3 linked regions of the Diceros bicornis minor genome follow. The protein of the gene in region 1 interacts with the protein of each later gene in a biochemical or structural test. Links are inferred from orthologs where the notes say so. Each region holds a gene or a part of one and is shown in the gene's direction. Other genes may lie near its edges.

Region 1 (7,462 bases):
GCGCGCGCACCCAACCACTTGCGCCACCAGGCCGGCCCCGAAGTCTTAGATTTGGGACATAACAATCCCTTCCTTTAAAGACAAGGCAATGGGTGTAGGTATATGAAGTAAGTTTCTCATGATCACAAGATAACTTAGAAAGATGACGAGGGAGATCATGATGGACAGGGAGGGAAAATTAGAATCCTGTATTTATTTTAAAATGTTCAGGAGAAGATAACTGATTTACAATAGGGTGTTGTTTTCTTTTCTTAGTTGATATTTATCGGAAATTTATACTTATGGCCAATGACAAAATGTCTAAAGCAGCAAGCTCTAATCTTACCTTTAGGGAAGTCTTAGAAACAAGCAGGAGATTGAAGTGAGCTATCAGACTCTGGGCAAAGTTAAGTGTCCAACTCAACATTGAACTCTGAGATCAATGTGTTCCTTTCTCTCACCAGTAGCATTCTGTCACTCATGATGTCAAGACTCTCTTTGAATTCTACCACTAATGGAAGAAATGAAGTGGAGAAGGAGATATGGGGAAGCAGCAAAGGCCAAAGGAATCTCTTTGTTGGGGTTCTGGCTTCAGCCAAGGGAAGTCATGAGAAACTGGGAAGGGAAACTGAACATGGGCCATATCAAGACATCCTCCTCAAGGGGCGTGATGGTCTCTATGAGCTCACTCAGGCTGGAGAAGTTCTTTTACCACTTCACGCTGTTCTGGTTTCAGAAGTTCTTTTACCATTTCAGGAGTTCTGGTTTCAAAAACAAAAATTGAACTAGCTTAAGGAAAAACGGGGTTTGAACAACTAAGCAACAGGAACAGCTTGAGTATTTTTCCAGACCTTCCTGGGCTTTGGCTCCTTTCAAATGGCAGCTTCACTCTTTCTCACCGCAGCCTGGTTATCCCTACAAAGAAGGAAATATAGACAGGCCAACTCCGGACTTTTAGATCTCAAAAGCTACCAGTGAATGAAAGAATATGAACTCTTTCTTTCCCATGCACAAAAATCCCAGGGAAGATACTGAGCAGAAATGACCATCTCTCAACCAATCATCAGTGATGAAGGCATTTTGATTGGTCCAACTTAGAACAAGGGAGTGGGGATTGTTGTACCATGGAGGCAGACCCAAGTTAAAGATGTACAACTGAGGGAAGGACAGTTCCTAGAAAAGGGGTACTGAGCAGATAATTCCAGATATTCACCTACGGTTTGCTAAGTAACATGATGGGTTACTAGATGTGTTTTTTTCCAGGTTGCAAATAACAGCAACATATTTTAGTTAACTCAACTGATGGGGATCTATTATAAAGATCGATAGGAAAATGAAGAAATACAGAGACCCATCTCAGAAATCCTCTAGCAATCCAGTTAGCATGTGCTTTCCACATCAGGTGGCAAATGTCCCCTCCTTAGATGTTGGGAAGCAAATGGGAGCAAACACAAAAAGAATTAATTCTTGACTCTAGCTCATGGCTTCTATGTTTTCACTTCCAGTTTGCCCCCACAGAATACCACCTTCTGTCTAAGTCTCTAGGGTCTCATATTCAAATTATTTGAACTAGACTCTGCTTGGGTAGACCAGTCACCATTGAATATAGGATGCTTTTTGGGCATAGAGCTTTCTTGCCAATTCATTTTATAGGCTGCAGCTCAGATACCCAAATTTGGCCAGGTATTAATCATTGTTTCAATCAGTTAAAACCAGGAAAATGGGATCAAAGTGTATAGGAGAGTTTCTGACAAAATTTTATTTATTTTATTTTTTATTTATTTACTTTTTGTCTGTGAGGAAGATTAGCCCTGAGCTAACATCTATTGCCAATCCTCCTCTTTTTTGCTGAGGAAGATTGGCCCTGTGCTAACATCCGTGCCCATCTTCCTCTACTTTATATGGGACGCCGCCATAGCATGGCTCGGTGAGTGGTGTGTCAGTCTGTGCCCGGGATCCGAACCTGCAAACCCCGGGCTGCCGAAGCAGTTGGGCCAGCCCCTCCTGCCACAATTTTATAGCAACAAAATCGCCATAAAATTCGTGGAGGAGTAAAAGCTATCACGACAGACACAAATATATTTTAAAAAACTCAACATATTCAGAGTATTTAATGTTTCCCTCAACTTTAAGTTAAAGTACACAATCTATTTCTTCACTTCTTGCAACATAATTGTTATCAGAAACAAGACTTCTCTTTTTGATACAGAAACTTAATCCTGAATCGCTTAAGTTGTTATTCTGGGGACAGAATGGAAATTTTAAAAAGAAGAAGCTTTCATGGAAGAGAGGTGTCTGAAATTCATTAAAAGTAGTAGAAGGGGATTTGAGACAAGGATGCTGAGAAGAAATGGAATGAAAGAAAAGAAAACAGAGAGTCGAGGTGATAAAAATAGAAAACAAAGATAATCCCAAAGAGCAGTGTGCACAGTTCTGCTGCAATCAGTACCACTCTGGTGAAGTCACCATCACCTGCTCTAGGCTTAGCTTCTCCTGGCCCAAGGCTGCTTCTGGGTAAAACAGCATGCTCAACCTGTTTGGCCTCCTCTCTGTGCCTGCTGCTAGCTGTGGGCCTAAGAAAGGGAAGGCTTCGGGCTTCTGGAAAGAGGCTGTTTTTTCTCCCTGTGCTCAGCTCCTGGAAATTCTTAAGGGACAAGGCTATAGATAAAAGATGTGGAGGAGGAAGGGGAAGGTCTCAAATGATGGGTGAGGAGGCAGGTGGCTTGATTTTTAAGTTCCCCTGATACTCTTCATTTATATATTTGCTGCTTCTAGAGAAACTGAAAAAGGAAAATAATCCATACAAAGAATGCCTGTGCAAATAGCAAACCAATAACCTACAACCTCCCAGGAGGTTCTGGCCTCTGCCCAGGGTACAGTTCCAGAGCTGTAAAAGGCGAGGGATATGTACACAGATATGACCCAATCCCAGGATATTTTAGATCCAGAAGAACCCGGAAACTCCCACAGCTAGCAATGACCTGGGGCTTGGGGAGCGGTGACCTTGCAGAGTGAAAACCTGGAAGGAGCCTAGAGCTGGGTCCGCTGTCGAGGAAGCCTAATCATCTGAGGTTGGTTATCCCTGACATGGGCTTCTTAATCCTTTCAGACTGAATAGCTCAGGCCTGGGACAATTTCTAGCTCTTTAGAACCAAATCAGTAGGTTTGGACTAGAATCTACTTAATGAGAATGAACCCCAAACCAAGTCGTCCTCGAGTCCAAGGAAAAGGTGAAAAGACTCATCAAGTCTAAAATCAAAGGATGCAGCTCTACAAATGCGGAGTTTTCAGCTGACGCAGTGTTGGTCAGTTTGGAATGGTGGGAATACTGGGAGAGCCGGCGAGGCTGAGAAAAGGGATCCGGACTTCCAATCTGCAGAGGCTAACAGTCACTGAATCGGCTTTTAAACTACTCTCTGAGCGTAGAGAATGGGAGGGTGCGGGTAGAGAGTTGGGGGGAGGCTTTTAGCCGGAAGCAACGTTGTCTTTTCTTCTATTTCTAGGGAAAATCCAGTCTGTGGATGAGCACCGTGGGGCAATACGAAAAAATGGTGACTTTCTTGTTTAAAAAAGATCTTTTCTGCAAGCATCCCTCGTGTGGTCCGCGCGCTCCACGGGCCAGCTGTCCCGGGCCTCTGTTTCAGTCTGTGGCCTCGGGTGAGCCCTTTAAATCCGGCTTCTCCGCCCCCACACCCCCCCCCCTCCGGCTCCCTGACAGGTGTTTTCCCAACTCCTGAGGCCGAGGATTTTGGGGAGTGGCTGAGCCAATAAGATTTCCCTTTGGGGGGGCGGGCGAAAGGGCGTGGCTAGTTGGGTCAGAGCGGGGGCGGGGTTTGCGCGGCCGAGCCGAGCCAGGCTGGCTGCGTGAGGGTGGTTTTGTCCGCCCCCTCCCCCTTTTTTTTCTGCCGGAGCCTTATTAATTTCTCTGTGGGGCTGCAGCTGGAGACCGCGGAGCGTTGGAAGTGACGCTCGGAGCTTTAATTACCGCAGCCGCCGGACAAGCGTGAGGCAAGCTGACAGGGAAAAGGAGGACGGGATCGGGGGAGAAGCAGGACGCTTCCCCCCCCCTTCCCTCCCAATTTGGACTGGAGGTGCAGGGACACTGCAAAGGGAGCCGAACATAGCGCGGCTGGGGGGAGAGGCCGGAAACCTACCGCCTCTTTGCAATCAACTTTTTTTGGAAACCTTTTTCCCCCTTCCTTTTTATCGTGGACCAACCAGTGAGAGAGAGAAAGTGAGGAGGGAGCGAGACAGCGAAGGCTCACACGGGGAATAGCTGCACAGTCCGGCCCGGAGCGCCCCGCGCACACACTCGGGCACCCTCCCACGCGCGCGCACACTCTCCTCTCCTCGGGGCCCCGGCCCCGGACCCGCGGACCGGGCGTCCCCGCTCGGAGCCGGTCCCCCTTGCGCCCCCACGCGCGCCTGTCCCCCTTGCGCCCCCACGCGCGCCTGGCTGCGGGCTCTCCTCCGCGTGCCCGAAAGGGGATATGCCATTTGGACATGTAATTGTCAGCACGGGATCTGAGACGTCCAAAAAATGAAGCTGGCGACAGGACTGTGGGTCTGGGGGAGCCTTCTCGTGGCGGCGGGGACCGTCCAGCCCAGCGCTTCTCAGTCAGGTGGGTCGCGGTTCCCTGTCGCGCTCCCGGGGTGGAACCTGCTGCCGCCGGCTTGGCCGCGATGGTAGCGCCCGCGCCCCCTTCGCCCAGCCTGAGACCCGCTCGCTCCCGGGCGCGGAGGGACCACTCCACCGGGGCCTCATCCTGGGGCTTTCGTTCGCCCCTCTTTCTGTCCCCAAACTTACCCTCTGTCTGTGCGTGTGTTTTATGGATCGTGAAAAATCCCTCTGCGCCCCTCTCCCTTTTTCTCTCCCCCGAACCCCCTTCTTTCTGGCGCGTTTTCTATGAGCCTAAGCGGAATCTCTCTGGGCGCGCTTGTGCAGGACGTGGGAGACCCGAATCCCGAGTCAGGGGAGACGGTCCGCTCCCCGTCTGCGCCCCCGGAGGGAGAAGCCTCGGAGAGGCGCGCACTGCCAGGGCCGCGACGGACGGGGTCCCGGGGCGCTGCCGGCTGGGCTGCTTAGGAGCGCGAGGGCTGTGGGGAGAGGAGCTCCGAGAGCCGGGCTTTGCACCTGTGTGTGCTGCCGGCGGCCACCGCGCCCCCAGTCGCCCGAGCCTTGCGGGGTCAGACCCGACTTGAGCCCAGCCTGGGCAGCTGGAGCGCGGCGGGCGGGCCGGCGCGCGCGCCTCGGCCGGGGGCCCGGAACTCTGGGCCTCCTCGGCCGGCGTCCCGCAGCCCTCGCCCCGTTGACTGGAGGGGAGCTGGCTTGGCCGCCTGACTCCTTAAAAAAAAAAAAAAAAAGGCTTGACATACTTGAGCCGGGAGCCCGGCCTTCCCGTCGGTTGCTGTGTTTGGCACCAGGAAGAGTTCTTCCTGTAGTTCAACTTGCTATTGGCCGGAGTCCCTCCAACTTCTCTGTTTACTGCCCGGCGTGGCTGCCGAGCCGACCCGTCGCGCGGATGGATTGAACCCCAGGCGGGCGTGGCTGCGCCGGGTGCGCGGCCACTGTTTGCTGGAGAGCCTGCGCGCCGGTGACCCGGACAGGCAGACGGCCAGTTGACCCCGGGGAGGCAGCGCAGTGGGGCCGGCGCTCCGCGCCGCGCAGGGCTAGTGATAGCGCCTGCAGTGCGAGGGAGCTCCAAGTTTCTGACACTTGAGTTTCCTGGGGATGAACGTGGGACAGGAAAGGACGGAGGAGAAGCGGTGTCTCACGCGGCCAGGGGGGCCTTTTGGAGAGCCAGAGAGATTTCCGGAGCCATCCAGGGCTGGTCGCGGGAGCGTGGGAGGCAGCTAGGGGAGATAAAGCTCCCGGGAGTGTAGATAGGAGAGCTTCAGGCCCCCGGAGGGTGTCCTGCTGACCTCACCAAGAAAACAGCGCGCTGTAGTTCGCCGCTCCGCCCCCGCCGCCGCCGCCCCCTCCTTGCCTAGTAAATAACAAGTTACAATCACCGAGTCTTTCAGAATGACCTTCGAATGGCACAATGCGCGCTGTCTGTTCTGGCCGTTTGCACCCTCCCAATTACCCCGAAATTCTTCATGCATACCGGGTCCCGCGCTCCGGCCACCTCCGGACTGACACCAACACGGACTCGAGATTCCAAGCGGCCTCTTAGCTACATCCCTTTTTATCCCCCTCCCTACCCCGGGTCCCTTCATATTTGCCCTCAATGGGTTGATTATGCACATTGACCCATTCAAAAGCAGCGGCGACTGACAGGCAGGCTTAGCCGAGAGGAATTTCTACGAGGCGACCTACTGGGGGCTGTCTGGTTCAGCCTCAGCCGCTGGGGGACCCGGCTCCGAGTCCGCAGCAATTTGGGCTTAACTGTGCGGCTCGAGGTTGAGCTATGCCGAAAAGCCCTTTTCAGAATTTCTGCGAGGGATGTAATCCAAATTAGTTCTGCAGCTGTCCCCTTCCTCGTCTCAGGCGACACCGGCTCGCGCCCTCGCTCGTCTCTCCTCGCTTCCCCCCGCGAATTGTCAGACCCACAATTGAGCCCATTTAGAGCGCGAGGATTAGCGTGCCATTGTTGTCCCGTGTGTGGCTGTGCACTTGAAATTCTGGGGGCACAAAGGCGAGCCTCCCTGGTTCCAAACACAAAGTGATCTAGATGAAAGGGCCGCACAACGAAGAGCTCTCGCGCGCATCCCTGGTGTAACTGCAGCTCGCAGGCTAAGGAGATCCGCTGCAAACTGTAAACGCCCCCGGGGACTTCTTTTTTCATCCTACCCACTCCTACCCCGCCCCAACCCCGGCACCTGGCGGGGGAAGTTCCGCGGGTTTTAATGTTGTGCTTTTATAAAACCAAGTGACTGTCTGGTGTATGAGTGAGGCTCTGTGTGTGTGTGTGTGGCTGTGTTTGTGTGTCTGTATGTTCCCAAGTAAATACATATTGCGTGTCTCCCCTCTCGCGGTTAGCAGTCAGTAGCAGTTTGCAGGAGTTTGTTTTGGTCCAAATGAGAAATTAAGTGCGGATAAGTAAACTAAGCTGCCAGAGGGCGACAAGATGTTGAGTGAATTGCTTTTAGATGAAACAAATTAAGGAAACGAGGGAAGACAATCTGCTTCTCGCATTATTAGACACGCTTGGAGTTCAGGGGAAAGTGGCATATTTTTGAAATGCTAATTTCTTAAGCAGAAGGAATGCACCTTATTTACTGCTCTATGTGAACAGAATAAAAATATAGGGGGGATTCTGTTGTCTAGATCTAAGATATTTCTTAAAATAATTGTAAAGGAAGAGGACCTGTTTTGATTTTTTCTTCTTTTGTTTGGAAAAAAATCAGCTTTAGAGAAGATGATCTTTTAGTAATTCTGAAGCAGTTTGTCTCATTTCTAGTGATTCATTTTATCTAGAAATATTATAGCCAAAGGCCCTTTATAATGACAATTATAAAGACTTTACCACCAAAAGGACTA
Region 2 (7,582 bases), on another chromosome or scaffold:
CCGTGCACCATCCAGTAGTCCCAGATGAGCTCCCAGCTGACCCCTGGCATCAGCTGCCAGTCAGGTGTGGGAGCCAGCTTGAATGTTTCAGCCCAGTCGCACCTCCAGCTGGTTGCAGCCCCAGCTGACATCCAAGTGGGCAGAAGAACCACTCAGCTGAACCCAGTAAACCTGCAGACGAGTGAGATACAATACAATGGTTTTGTTTTAAGCTATTTCAGGGCGGTTGGTTTCATAGCAATACATAACTGAAATAGTATTCCAGAGAAAATCCTGTAACTGAGACTGTGGAAGAGCTCGTTTAATTTAAAGTCTAAATAGAGATACTTAAATAGCCTATGATTAATCCTTATAACTTTCGCAACTCACTAGGCAAAATCTTAGAAGGCTTTTTTGGAAACTAGGCACCTTTTAAGTGTGTTTACCAGCTACATTAAGGTAATATTGCCTATTTCATTGTTATGCTTTCTGGGTCACTTATTCTCCCCTTGAAGTGGTAGGTGAGGAATACATAATCAAATGCATTCTTTTAATTAAAAAAGAGAAGCAGTATTTTTCAGCAAAAATAGCATGAGTCAGACCTTTGTTCAAATCTTGGCCTGTCACTTAATAGCTGTGTGTCCATGGCTAAGTTACCTAAGCCGCCTGAGTCTGTTTCTTTGTTTTCCAGATAATATGTATTATACAGGATTAGAGAAGATCAGAAATAATGTATGTTAAGAATCTACAGAGTGCCTGGCGCAAAGGTGGAGCTCAATAAATGTAGCTTTTTTTGTATGAAGGAGGTGGTAACGTGGTGTTAAAAAGGCAGTAAAAATATGTCTCTTGTTCATTTTTTAAGGGAACATGGAAATATGGGTTCCTTGAGCTTTATTGGGGTGTAGCCTAAAGGGTTAAAGTGATACATCCTTGCACTTCTTCCTACAAACAGGCATGTTTTATCCAAAGGAAATTTCGATCCCTGTCCCATTCACACTACCCTTCCTCACTTCTTTATTGCTATAGAGAATTTGATAAAGGGATAAAGACAACTTCTGGCTCCTAGTCCAAAGGGTAGAACTATTGGAGAATTCCTTTTATTCTGTACCTCCTGTCCTACTCCCTTTCCTCAATTATTCACTTTCCAATTTGGTGGGAAACAACTTTATAGGATGCTGGCTCTCTGCACTCTGATCTTATCTCCAAGGTGCCACAAGGTTCATGGAGTACATCTCCAAGGAGGACACATGCACATCCCACAGTCTGATTCGTGCAGTCCAGGGGACGGAATGGCTGTGGTGGCCCACAGGATTCTGTCTCTGATGCTTTGGCCTAGTCTTTGTATAATGTGTTATTTTCCTTTGTAGGAAATTACTCAGCACTGTTCTAGTTGTCATATTAAAGATGCGTGTTTCTAATATGACAGCTACAGCAGTGCCCAGTGATTTCTTTGTCTGCTGAATGTGTTTGTTCTTAACAATTATGGTGAGGTGAGTAGTTGTGATTGGTGCAAGTTAAGGACCACTTTTTTTTTTTTTCATGAGGAAGATTGGCTCTGAGCTAACATCTGTTACCAATCTTCTTCTTTTTGCTTGAGGAAGATGGTCCCTGAGCTAACATCTGTGCCAGTCTTCCTCTACTTTGTATATGAGACGCTGCCACAGCATGGCTTGATGAGCAGTGTGTAGGTCTGTGCCGGGGATCAGAACCCACCAACTCCGGGCCGCCAGAGTGGAGCACATGAACTTAACTACTGTGTCACCAGGCCGGCTGCAAGGACCACTTTTTACGTTATTGGTTACTCTTCTTGGTGTCTTCTCTTACCTGCCTGACTTGGGCTACCTGAACCCCATTTTGGTCTTTGAAATTTAGATGACCTTGGCTGTGGATAAAATGCCAGTGGATTATACTTGAGTATAATTTTGGTTTGGGGCAGAATTGAGGAGTTAAGTGCCACATATTTACACCGGGTGATCTCTGAAGGAATTATAAGTTATCCTAATTTAGCGTAAACATTTACTTGTTTATATTGTTTTTGAATATTTACATGAATAGTGATCATTAAAATCTTAATACCTCAGTTGGAATACTGCAAATGCTTCAATATAGATTTTCTATGATATGAAATTTTATGTCCATTGCTAGAATCTTTCAGAAAGCTCTCACTGTTAAAAATAGAAACTAGGCATAGGAATTATTTTAAAATACTGGTGCATAAATGCAGGTTATGTAGAGGTGAACTTCAGGATAACTCATTTTGCCCATAAGCTTGTCATAGTCATAATTATGATTATGCAAATTTGTTCAGGCTTTTGTTGTTGTTAGTTACAGTACTACAAGCACATTTTAAGATATGAATGCCCCCTAAATCATTTATAATTATGGACTAATTTCATTTTGAAAGAAATGATAATATTCTTATCTCATGCCCACTTAAAGCTTAAAAATATTTCAAAGCAGTGGAGATTGTGCTATACAAAATATCATGTGCTTAAAGCAGATTTTTCTCAGGACTTGAGCTCTAAATTTTATTGCTTCTGGGACTCATATGATGGTTATGTAGTATAGATTTAGAGAGAGTTTTTAAGACTCCTGTTGACATAGGTGAGCAAAATGGTTCCTTGGAAACCATTCGGGTGTCCAGTCACAGTAAAGCGTGGATTAAAGGTTACGATGCATATAGTGTGCGCTGACGTGTAACCAACGGGAGGTTTGGGGGACCATGTGCTCTCTATTGAGGACAGTGCACTTCTTCCCAGTATCTTAATGACTGCTATCTTAAAAGGGGGGAAAAAATCAACATTGAAACTATCTGTAAGGTAATGCTACTGAAACCTAACCCAAAAGGCATGCTCTAATAGAAAACTCTTCTTAATACTTTCAGTGTGGTTATAGCTGAGGACATGTGGTATATATTACAGCACTCAGGGAATTCAAACCTCCGCAGTGTGAAGTCACAATGAAGGCTAATTTCAAAAAGAAGTGGTAGCCTTTGCTCCCTTCGTAGCTCTGTTACTTCCCAGGGTTTCTTATTAGCTTGATATTCATCTAGGACTGCTGTGAGTGGCACAGGGAAATGGAAATTTAAAGAGGACCAGAGTGGGGACGTATGAGTCTCTCTCCCCTCCCCTAGCACCCGCCTCCTTCACCATACACTCAGCATTTCACACTGGGCATTACAAAGTCTTACACAATCATTGCAAAAAGGGCCAAAGGCAGAGCTGTCCATGGTTTGAAAGAAATGTTCGAACTGTTGGTTGAAAATCAGGTAATAACAGTCCTGTTGGTGAACAAAACTTACTGGAGGGCTGAGGAAGGAACGCTATCTCTCAGCAGCAGGCAGGAAGTAATTGCTGCTTGAAAAGCTTACCTCTCTAGGGAGGAATCAGATATCAGACTTTGCCAAGCCCCAGGTCCAACCCAGAAGGTCCCACCTACATCCCCAGCCTCAGCCCAGCTTTGTTAGATTGCTAGCATCGATCGCTGCCTTTTCCTGACCCAACAGTGGGTGCAGGAAAGAGAGCCAGCCAGACTGAAAGCAAGCAAGGTGGGGGTGGAAGACTGGGGCCGCTTTTGCAGAGAGAAAAAGAGAAAGAGAAGAAAAAGGGTGGGGGCCATGGGGACCAAGCTTAACTGGTGCCTGCCTGCTTCTCTTTGATTTGATGGCCTTTATTCCTTCTAATTGGATAAAATAGGAAGTCACTGGCAGTCCTGTGTTGCTGGGTATACTGATTTTACTCAGACCAGCCAAGCAGCTCCAGAGTGCGGGTAGAGGGTGGGGGTTGGGAGAGGAGGGAGGAAAAAGAAAGAGAGAGAGTGAGAACGTCTTTGGATGAGGAGGGGAAAGAAAGAGAAAGAGACTATGAAGAAGGGAAGAGCCGCAGAGGAAGAAAGTGAATGAGCGCTCAAGAAGGACAAAGAGGAGTGGTTGCGGGGTGGGGGTGGAGGCAGGGCGGGGAGGGGAGTTACCGCCCCTCCTGGCCGCACTCGTCCCTTCAGATCCCTCTGTGATGATACTGTTTGCAGTGATGCTCGGAGGGCAGGCACCTGCTGCTCTGTAATGATTCAGCCTCTTTCAGCCGTCGCGTTAACACAACAGGATGCTGTTGCTACTGTCGCTGCTGCCTCTCCTGCCGCCGCCGCTGCTGCCGCCGCCGCCGCCGCCGCTGATTCTGCTCTTGCTTTTACTTCTCCTGCATGACAGTTGTTTTCTCCATCTAAGCAGACACCAGCTTCAGATGCTCGAGGTGAGAAACATGCCTTTCAGTTTGGGCTACTGGTTCACTTAATTGACCAACCATCAGCTGGATTTCTATTCTGGCCCCTGCCCTCTTGACTAGCACGGATGGTTTGGAGAAGCATTTAAAAGAACTACTAAAGTGGCCCAGAAACAGCAGTAAAGAATTACCATATACTTTTATTTGGTAGTTGCTAGGGGCTTTTTTTCCTTCCTTCCTCCTGAACTCCTCTTGCTTTTGATAATGGCCTTGGACTTGGACGACTTATCGATTTCCCCATGTAAGATGCTGTATCATTTGGTTGGGGGGGGCCCTGCCTGGTAATGGACCATGAGAGAGGCCAGGCCTTCTGGAGGTGAGCCCATGGAGATCTCTTCCCCAGACATGTCTGGGGTAGCTGCAGAGAGGTGCTCCAGCCCCTCCACTCAGCTGAGTACAGACCCATCTCTTGACGGGCTTCCGGCAGCTGAAGACATGCCAGAGACCCAGACTGAAGATGGGAGAACCTCCGGACTCGTGGGCCTGGCAGTTCCCTGCTGTGTCTGCCTGGAAGGCGAGCGCCTGAGAGGTTGCCTCAACTCGGAGAAAATCTGCATTGTCCCCATTCTGGCTTGCCTCGTCAGCCTCTGCCTCTGCATTGCCGGCCTCAAGTGGGTATTTGTGGACAAGATATTTGAGTATGACTCTCCCACTCACCTTGACCCCGGGGGGTTAGGCCAGGACCCTATTATTTCTCTGGATCCAACTGCTGCCTCAGCTGTGTGGGTATCATCTGAGGCATACACTTCACCTGTCTCTAGGGCTCAATCTGACACTGAGGTTCAAGTTACAGTGCAAGTTGACAATGCTGTTGTGTCCTCTGAACCTTCAGCGGTACCCACCCCGAAGAATCGTATTTTTGCCTTTTCTTTCCTGCCGTCCACTGCACCATCCTTCCCGTCACCCACTCGGAGCCCTGAGGTGAGAACACCCAAGTCAGCAACTCAGCCACAAACAACAGAAACTAATCTTCAAACTGCTCCTAAACTTTGTAAGTAGAGAGAGAGATGGTGATGGATAAAAGAAAGGGTGGGTTGGAGATCCTAAAAGGTGTTCTCCAGGGCGTGTAGCTGTTTCCTCTCCTCCTTGTATTTTAATTGCCTGGTTTTGTTGAAGCCTATCATGTGACTGGGATGCTTGGGCTGGCGTTGAAGAGATGAGTAAAAAGATCTTGTAAACTCCTAGTATGAATCAGTGCTCTAACAGAAGCTCGCTCTAGCCAGATGGTTAAATCTGGGGTGGGGGGCCCAAAACTTCAGCGTCTGAGTTAAATTCAATTGATTTCTAATACTTTTTAAAATTAAACGTCAGCCCATCCTGTATTTTTTATATAAATTTGATTTTCACATAGCAGTGAGTCTGATTTTGTGTCTTTCTTTTTCCACCATAGAGTTCCTATCACCTCTCCCCAGCTTTCTGATACCCTGTGCCTCCCAGCCATCCCAAGCTGCCTGTTCTCTTTCTCCATCTCTTCTTCCTGTTCCTTTAACCACTTCTCCCTGCATTTGTGTTTTAATTGGTTCCTCCAAATATTGCATCAAGTCTTTAGACATTTATGATGCTCACCTCTCGCCAGCGTCAGGCTACAGCTGTCCTACCCAGATTGTAGTTTCAGTTTCTGAGCACTTACGAGAGGCAGCTTAATTTTGTTCAGAACACAGAATAATTCTGCATGAAAAGATTTTCCCAGATTAGTTTTGTCTTCTGTAATCAAATGTTTAAATAGCTTCCTTGGCCGTTATTAAAAAGTACAGAATACATTAGTAAGCTACGTCGTTTTTTTAGACATGTGTCATTTCGCCCATCAGATTGCAGCAGTCCAGTTTAATAATCTGTGAGTGAAGAGAGCCCATGCTGTTGAAACAAAACAGAACAATATACTGCTGTTTGTACCTGGTCATTGCAATGCTTTGTAATGGAAAGTTGACAAGGATGAGACCGTGACTAGTCAGATTGTTCTAAACATCAACGTATAACGGAGGAGTTTTCTATAGCTCTTTTTTTTTTTACATTTCTAATTTATTGTTGTTTCTCTATCTTCTATCACTTTTACCATTGATGAATATTTCTTGAGTAGAAAAAAGTAAAAGATCAGAGGATTTGGTTCTTAAAAACGTGTGTAAAATCTCTTAAAGGAGAGTTGAGGATAAGGCTTCTGTGATGAAATACCCCGTTTGCTTCCCTCTAAATGGAAATGAAGAATAAAAAATATCTTTTCCAGACATTATGTTCAGGATGAGGGGGATCCGTGTGTTACAGAAACAGAGAAAAACTTGATTTGGGCTTATGAATCAGGATCATTTTATACACACCAGTTTTAGTGGCAAAGGTTTAAAAAAAAAAAGAGGCTTGTTTTTCAGGTGTAATTAGGGAAGAACGTCCTACTGCTTTGTATCTTTATCAAATCCCTGAAGCATCATTAAAGGTCTGACAGACATCGCTGCATTCACTGCCTCTTCCCACCTGGCAAAGTGACCGGGAAATAATACCCAGATGAAATGACAGGCTATAAAAAGCAAGTCCAAATCCTGCAAAGAGAAGCAAAATTCACTATGCAGACAAGGTTACTTCTTTGTCTTTATCATTTTCAACTTAAGTCTTTAATTAAAATGTGCCTGAATAGGTCTAGTTGTCCAGAAAAAGAAAGAAGACTCTTTGAAAAACTCAACTAAATTCTATAATTCTGTCCGCGGAAAACAAGCAAACAAAGAAATACCCAGCACATTTTCCTGATCTAGGACCATATCAAAAAGTATGTCGTGACGTTTTGAGAAATTATTTTTTAAGGGCAATTCTTCTAGCAAGTGTTTTAATAGATTACACATTCCATATAGTTTCTTTTCTTTTCGTGTTTCCAAGCCAGAGCATTGATTTTCTGGCATTTGCTTTGAGTGGAAAAGATTTACTGCTGCCTAAAAGCATCCTAGGGGCCAGTTCTGGCCAGATGCACAGCTGCAGTGTTCTGAAGTCCATTGGAGAGAAGCCTGGAAAAGCAGTCTGGGAAGTGCTGGTCTCCTGAAAAGTTAGGGGAGAGTGTTGGTTAACACTTTACAGCCTATAGGGTTTTCTGTATGGGAAACTCTGTGTTAATTTTTTGATCTAGTGCCTGAAAACAACAAAAACACTAGTATCCTAAAAATTGTGTTTGTTTTTTTTTTTGGAAAGGGGTTGGTCCAGGGAGCTTTGTTTTCAGAAACTCATAAGTGGTTGTTATTGTTGTTTAACAAGCTTGTAAACATTAACTAAAGGAAAGCAAAAAAAAAAAAAAAGCTTGGAATTAGATTGTCATTTTATAATCTCTTTCACTTTTTTCTTTTCAACTAAGA
Region 3 (7,418 bases), on another chromosome or scaffold:
CAATCTGTAAATGGAACTATATTTGGCACTCTATAGGCCTTTAAAGACTTAACACAACAACAATGCGAAGATAAACCACACATAAACAAAATCCAAAGTACTGCATGCACAAACAGCTTAAAAATAATGGATAAGGGGGCCGGCCCCGTGGCTTAGCTGTTAAGTGCGCGCGCTCCGCTGCTGGCAGCCCAGGTTCGGATCCCGGGTGCGCACCGACGCACCACTTCTCTGGCCATGCTGAGGCCACGTCCCACATGCAGCAACTGGAAGGATGTGCAGCTATGACATACAACTATCTACTGTGGCTTTGGGGGGAAAAAATAAATAAATAAAATCTTAAAAAAAAATAATGAATAAGGAAGATGTGAAATATACATATATCTATAATGGAATATTAGTCAGCTATGAGAAGGAAGGAAATCCTGCCATTTGCAACAACATAAATTGGCCTTCAAAGTATCATGCTAAGTGAAATAAGTCAGAGAGAGAAGGGCAAATACTGTATGCTATCACTTGTATGTGGAATCGAAAAAAGCCAAACTCATAGAAACAACGAGTAGAGTGGTGGTCAGCAGGGGCTAAGGGTAGGGGAAATGGGCAGATGTTAGTCCAAGAACACACACTTCCAGTTATAAGATGAATAAGTTCGGGGATCTAATGTACAGCATGGTAATTATAGCTAATAGTACTGTATTATATACTTGAAAGTTGCTAAGAGAGTAGATCTTAAATGCTCTCACCCCAAAAAAGAAATGGTAATTATGTGATGTGATGGAGGCGTTAGCTAACCTATGGTGGTAATCATTTTGCAGTCTACAAGTATATCGAATCAACATGTTGTACACCTTAAACTTACATGATGTTATATGTCAATTATATCTCAATAAAGCTGGAAAAAAGAGAAAAATATTACATATAAAATGACATTTTTTCTTCCAATTTATCTACATAAACATTCTCAGCCCATGTAGATAATAGAGACAGAAATAAACATAACTACACAAGCATATGCACGTATTCAAGTATAAGATTTGGGGAAACATGACAGCTCTCAAATATTTGTAGGGCTGTTGTGTAGAAGAAAGGTTAGATTTGTTCTGTGTAGCTACTGAATAGAACTAGGACCAGGAGTGAAATAGATGGATCTATCAGGAAGGCATATGTCAGTTTATCTTTAGGAAGAACTTTTAACAATTAGAACCCTTCAAAATAAATGGGCCCCTCACTGGAGTTATTGTAGAGGGAATTCCAGGAGATTAGGTTGGATGATCTCTAAGGTTCTTTCCAACCCGTGACACTGAGCCACGTGTCAAAATTAAACACATTTGGGGGATGTAGAGGAAGGTAGTTGAATTTTATAAGCAAAGAATTGTTAACAGCTGTGGTTGTTTTAGGTCTGGACCCAATCGAGTCCAGGGAAACTATCAGGTCTCCATGGATAAGTCTGAGATTCTCTTATGAAGGAGGCAGGACCTGAGTAGAATCCTGAATACTGTAAGAGGAGTCACTTGGGAGCCATATTGGAGAGAATATGATTATTGCAAAAGTCATAGCTAAAGAAGAAAACATCCCAGAAAGAGACTAACTGGATAAAACATACATGCCTGTCATAGGAGGGGTGAGGGTTTGAGAAACAGGAGATGATGAACATTAGGCAATTATAATCCAAGGTATCCTGAAAAATAGTCTTGAAACATTAGGTGAAAAATTTAGAATTGATGAAGGGGTGAGGGAACACGGCCAAAGCAATGAGAGGAAGAAATATTTTTGTTTTAGTGTATTGCCTGGTGCTAAAGGTGAGGAACCTAGGAAGAAAAGGCAAGTAGCAGGAGAATCCAACAGAGAGATGCCTGAGTCCAAATGAACACTGTGTCCATACAGGTGTAGAAAAAGAAGTAGATATGGGAGATAATGTAAGAATGTGGCAAAAGGCTGGAAATGCAGACTAGTAAAGACAGGGAAGTGCTACACGCATCATTCTTGCTACTTTTTTTCACTTGGTTTCTTCCCCTGCCTGGAGCTCACAGCTGCCCTTAATTCAGTTTGAGATGGTACTACTTGAGATTGTTTTAAATGTCTAAATGTAGTTCCCACCTAATTAATTAGGATTTTCTCTACTCTATCACCACCCCCCAATTCTGAAAGTTCCCATTTCACTTTGAAAATGAAAGAATGGAAAATATCCACAAGATAATGCATGTATCCTAAGTCTCCACTTACAGGGCATTTGCTTTAGTCTATACAGAATCTTAAGAATCAATGGTAGAGAAATCTTCATATTCAAAACAAAGGTATTATGTAATAGTTCACATGTGCAGGTAGCTGGTGATAACCAGGTAGGAATGACTAATAAAGTGATATATGATTCTACATGTTTTTATTGGTTGGTGTTTTTGTTTTTAGTTAGATGCAAGGTGGCAGGTGGTGGAAGGGGGCTCACCTGAATAAATTCTGTAGAATTTGTTCCATGATCTAAGTGTATAACACTTGAAGAAATTAGGCTTGGAAAAGTTGATGGACTTGTGAAAACGTCATTTTTTTTGTACTAATAGGAAGTGCTTGTATGTTACTTATTATATGCCAAATACTGTTTTAAGTGCGTTATATATAGTAACCAATTTAATTCTCACAACAGCCACAAATTGATGTGCAAAACGTTAAGTATTTGCCCAAGAGCAAATAGCTCATCAGTTTCAGAGCCCAGTTTTGAATTCAAGCAGTCTGGCTTCAAAGTCCCTGCCCTTAACCACAGCACTATACTATACTCATCTATTATATACCATGCATGAATCAGCAGAGACTGTTATCCCCAAATTAAAATTCTCTCAGATAATAAAAATCAAACAACAAACCAAATTCTGGCTCTATGATCACCTTTATCCTTTGTGAATGATTTTTTTTCAGTAGTTGCAAATGCTTTGGGAATTAAAAGAAAAAAAAGTATTTTAAGCACAGGAAAACTTTGATCCAAATGGAAAGTTCATATTCTATCCAGTGCTAAAGCACAGTGTTTCTGTTCCCATTTTGGGGGCAATTTCAGTTATTTCTGGCCACACCCTGGATGGCAACGGAATAATTTCATAATGCTTTTATAGTAGTGAGTATCAATGTCAGTGGATGGTTCATCTAAAGTCAGCCTGGTTCTATGAAAGACACGCAAAGGAGAACTGTGTCCACCTTTCCCCCCTAAACCTATCCCTGTGGTTGTTTTGCTGCTTCTTGGTAATGGCTCCCATCCTCTCTTCTTTAATTTAAAGCAAATTTTCAGTATGGTACCTCCAATAACTAATACTTTTTATAAAGGAAAGAGGAAAGCCAAAGGAATAGCAGGAGGATAATTATCAAGTTCTTTGAGAATTTAAAAAACTGGATCAATATTAAGATGCAAGAATGTGCAGTGGGGGGATAAGTGGAAATTTATACATATATATGTGTTTGCATGTATAAAAAACATTTCTCTTCTGCTTGAGTCACTCTTTAGACAATATAAGTTAAAGATGAGTAAGTTCTGACTCAGAAACAGGTTCAAAGATTTTTTTTCTCCTTTGACATCAAAAGACCTGACCACGTGCTCGGTATATAAAGCCTGCCAGTAGGAAGATTAGCTTTACATACTGTCAAGCATTGTAAGGGTAACAGAAACACACATGTGGTTAGATGCTGTAAAAGTTCAAGAGGAATTCATGGTAATATAATATGAGGAATGGGGCCACAACTGCTTCTCCAATGAGACTGTAGAGTGCAGACAATCAAAGCGAATGCAATTTAACATCATGAAATAATTTCAAAAAATTACAATGAAATAATAATATAACTTTTTACCATCTTCATGTAAATTCTGTATAATTTTAATTTTAACTCTAGGCCGCTGACAAGGGTGTTTAAAGGGATTCTCCTGGGCATTTTAGGGATCCTCACCTGGATGACAAGCACCAAATGCCTTGTGCTTTTCCGTCCCAACTGTGCCTGCTAATGAGCTGTGCACCTGGGGCGTTCAGGTCGACTGATTGATTTGACAGGTGGAGGTGGGACACAGAAGGCTTTAGACGGACCAACCCCAAAAGGCGGTAGCATGTGGAGCCGAACGTGGGATGGGTCGGCTAAAGCGGATCCAGACTTGGGAGGCCGAGGCGCGGCGAAGACACAGAGGCGCCGAAAGACCTGAAGCAGAGGTAGACGTGCAGATGAGGTGGGCGCTGGGGGACCCACCCTGCGAGAAGGCGGGGCGGCGCGGGCGGGGCGGGGCCGGGGGCGGGGCCGCGGGGCGCCCTCCCCCTGAGCAGCGGAGGTGACTGGTCGGGTGGGGGGCGGGCGGCGCTCTGTCCCACGCTCTCCCAGCGCTCGGTGGTTTAAAGATGGCGGCGGCGGAGGCGGCGGCGGCAGTGGCAGCGGCAGCGTTGGGGGCGCGGAGCCGCGGGAGGGGGAGGGAAGGGGAGAATCTGTGAGTCGCGGAGAGGCGGCGCGGCGGCTGCTGTGAGGAGACCGGGTGCGGAGCCTCCGGCGGCCCGGCCGCTCAGGGCCGGGGCCTGGACTGGGAAGGAGAGGCCGGAGCAGCGCCAAGAGCCGAGGCCGGAGCCGAGGAGGAATGTGACCAGGGGTCGGCGGGGGCGCGGGAGTACGCGAGCGCAGGGATGGGGCAGCAGGTGGGCCGCGTCGGGGAGGCTCCGGGGCTTCAGCAGCCGCAACCCCGCGGGATCCGGGGCAGCAGTGCAGCCAGGCCCTCCGGCCGCAGGCGGGACCTGGCGGGACGCACCACGGAGGCCGGCTTCAATATCTTTACCCAGCATGGTGAGTGTGTCCAGGAGCCGGGGTGAGGACGTGAGGGAGGCCAGGGGTGGGGTCGGGGCGGGGTGGGAAGCAGACAGGCAGCCCTAGGGGGTCGGGGGTGGAGGGGTGCCTGGGAGTGGGGGCGGAATCTGCTGCCATCTGGGCCAGTCACGGGAGACGAGTCACACCCCTCCCCCCTCCCGTCTCCAGCCTGGCTGGCAGCTCCCGGGGGCGGAGGAGGAAAGAGAAGTGGTCTTAGGGACTGTGGATGGACTGTCCTCTACCCTGGGACGGGACTGTGCGGCTTAGGGATACTGTGGACAGTATCCCCAGAGGAGGGAAGGATGAAGGGAGGTGTGAGCCCAATCCCGGAGGGGTTTGTATAAATCGGTCATTAGCGAAGGAAACATGAGTTGTGCCTTAAGAGACTGGGAAATAGGAACTGAATCTCAGGAGATAGTGGCGTATAAAGTATATGTATAAGGCGATAAGCAGTGCCAGGATAGTGAACAGTGTCCTGAAATAACTTCTATGGGAAAGATAAGGTATCTCAGCACTTTTGATTTTTTTTTTTTTTTCCGCAAACTGGAAATGAAGGACTTTGCCAAACCATCCTCTGTTCTAGTCTTCTGAGTAGGACACAATTCTGAGATGGCTGGCAGAGGGTAGAGGTTGGTGGGCATGGTTAGGACTTTGAGTATGAACTGACGTTTTTCTTTCTACCGTATATGTGCATGCATGCATACATACCTAAATACATACATTCTCTATATAGTCTGCAACCTATTTGGCCTCATTATCAAGGTATTTTTAGAATGTTTTTCTCCAAACTCTTTTGATCATACACTGTTATTGGTAAAAGAACATATACTCCAAGAATTTGTCTTTATTAATTATCACTCCTACTGTACTAATATGGTATGTAACTTATAAGTGTACACAGAAATAGAATTTAAGAAAGGATGAGATGAAAAAATAAGTATAATAAGAGTTCTAGGGCCGGCCCCGTGGCTTAGCGGTTAAGTGCGTGCACTATGCTACTGGCCGCGCACTGACACACCGCTTCTCCGGCCATGCTGAGGCAGCTTCCCACATACAGCAACTAGAATGATGTGCAACTATGACATACAACTATCTACTGGGGCTTTGGGGGAAAAAAAAAAGGAGGATTGGCAATAGATGTTAGCTCAGAGCTTGTCTTCCTCAGCAAAAAGAGGAGGATTAGCATGGATGTTAGCTCAGGGCTGATCTTCCTCACAAAAAAAAAAAAAAACAGTTCTAATATATTTTTATTTCCTGCAGCCCAATGGATCCTTTTGCAGTTTCTCTGAGCTGCACCCACACCACTTTTGAGACCACTTTTCTAGAGGAAGGAAGAGTGGAGAAGGGGGAAAAATGAGATTGACCTTCATGGGGTTGAGATGCCCTAAGACCTGAGAGAGGCTGAAAAGATAGATGGGACTTCTGTATAAAGGACTGGATATGAATAGTTGAGGTTGGATGAGAGGTGGCAAACTGGAGTTTCACTGAAGAGGCATATAGAAAATAATAAAGGATAAAAGAGACAGGGTGTTGTATACTGCACAGTGTGGGGAAGAGGAGTAAGAAAAAGAAGTGTGAACTATTCTTTAGAAATGGAGTTTTAGAGGGAATAATGATAGATGGTAGTATGCAGAGAAAGAGATGAACCAAGGAACTGTGGCTGCTAGGTGAGTTGTATCAGAGAGTTCTGGGCTTGGACTTTGTGAATAAGCTGAGTTGTTTCTTAATGAGGAGATATAACTGATTTGGGGCCATTCAGGCGTTGCATGTCTACTATTAAAGATGTGAATGAGCTTCTCTTCCTGGTATATGAACATTTTATGAAGGTGCTATGTGAGTTGATCTTTATTGACATCACTTCCTAAAACACAGGAGGAAAGAATGAGTGAATAGTTTTCAGGGAAGAAATCATCCAAGTAGCTTTGCTTTGTAGGAAGTGTTAGTATGCATTAAACTTGGCCCATTAGTCAACGGTGATCTTTTCCTCTAGCATCTTATTCAGGACATAAGATTTTCAGAGGAGGAAGTCGTGAAGAATGGAATAGGAAGAGATTTTGAAGGATAGATAGGATTTGGATCTGTGGAGCAAGAAAAAGAGGGCAGGCTGGGCAGGAGAAACAACTTGAGCATGAACAGTGGGAATGAACATGATTTGTTGATGGGATAGTGAGGTGACATCTGTTAGGAGTGAAGCAAATCCGCCAGGAGTGAATCCTAGAGCAAAAAAGGCAAGAATCAAGTTCTGGTCCTGGCTCTGCTTGGTTGGGTGATTTAGTCACTTACTATCTTTGGACTGTCTTTGGGTTTCTTTATCTTTAAAATGTTGGACTGGATTATCTCTAAGGTACCTTCTGACTCTAAGATTTTATGATTCTAATTGAGAAGCAGTGGGAAGAAAACTTTGAATGCATTGGATGGTTCTGAGTTATGGAAAATGTGGCAGAGGAATTTGTATCAGTTTACCTCATTGGCTAGTTTATAGGATACGTCAACAAACCCCAAGAATGAAATGCTGAAAGACTGGCCTTGAGTGGAGGCAGTGGAAATAGGAGGGGTAAATTCTAGGGATAGTTCATTCATTCAACAAACAAAAGTATTTTGAGGGGCTG

What was found. The genes of interacting proteins can lie anywhere in the genome.
Region 2: the proteins of ERBB4 (region 1) and NRG1 form a complex in vitro, tested with the Homo sapiens proteins (2 studies listed by BioGRID and IntAct, with this or other methods). The link is inferred for Diceros bicornis minor from reciprocal best matches to the Homo sapiens genes ERBB4 and NRG1.
Region 3: the proteins of ERBB4 (region 1) and ABL2 form a complex in vitro, tested with the Homo sapiens proteins (2 studies listed by BioGRID and IntAct, with this or other methods). The link is inferred for Diceros bicornis minor from reciprocal best matches to the Homo sapiens genes ERBB4 and ABL2.

The regions. Positions count from the first base shown.
Region 1 is NC_080776.1:3,746,243-3,753,704, reverse strand, and holds the start of ERBB4 (receptor tyrosine-protein kinase erbB-4), read left to right. Parts: upstream 1-4,444; 5' UTR 4,445-4,519; coding exon 4,520-4,601; intron 4,602-7,462. UniProt on the Homo sapiens protein: Tyrosine-protein kinase that plays an essential role as cell surface receptor for neuregulins and EGF family members and regulates development of the heart, the central nervous system and the mammary gland, gene transcription, cell proliferation, differentiation, migration and apoptosis.
Region 2 is NC_080768.1:30,156,106-30,163,687, forward strand, and holds the start of NRG1 (pro-neuregulin-1, membrane-bound isoform), read left to right. Parts: upstream 1-4,580; coding exon 4,581-5,247; intron 5,248-7,582. Other genes in the region: uncharacterized LOC128092250 homolog, read left to right, coding at 4,080-4,268. UniProt on the Homo sapiens protein: Direct ligand for ERBB3 and ERBB4 tyrosine kinase receptors. Concomitantly recruits ERBB1 and ERBB2 coreceptors, resulting in ligand-stimulated tyrosine phosphorylation and activation of the ERBB receptors.
Region 3 is NC_080743.1:87,717,838-87,725,255, forward strand, and holds the start of ABL2 (tyrosine-protein kinase ABL2), read left to right. Parts: upstream 1-4,416; 5' UTR 4,417-4,631; coding exon 4,632-4,788; intron 4,789-7,418. UniProt on the Homo sapiens protein: Non-receptor tyrosine-protein kinase that plays an ABL1-overlapping role in key processes linked to cell growth and survival such as cytoskeleton remodeling in response to extracellular stimuli, cell motility and adhesion and receptor endocytosis.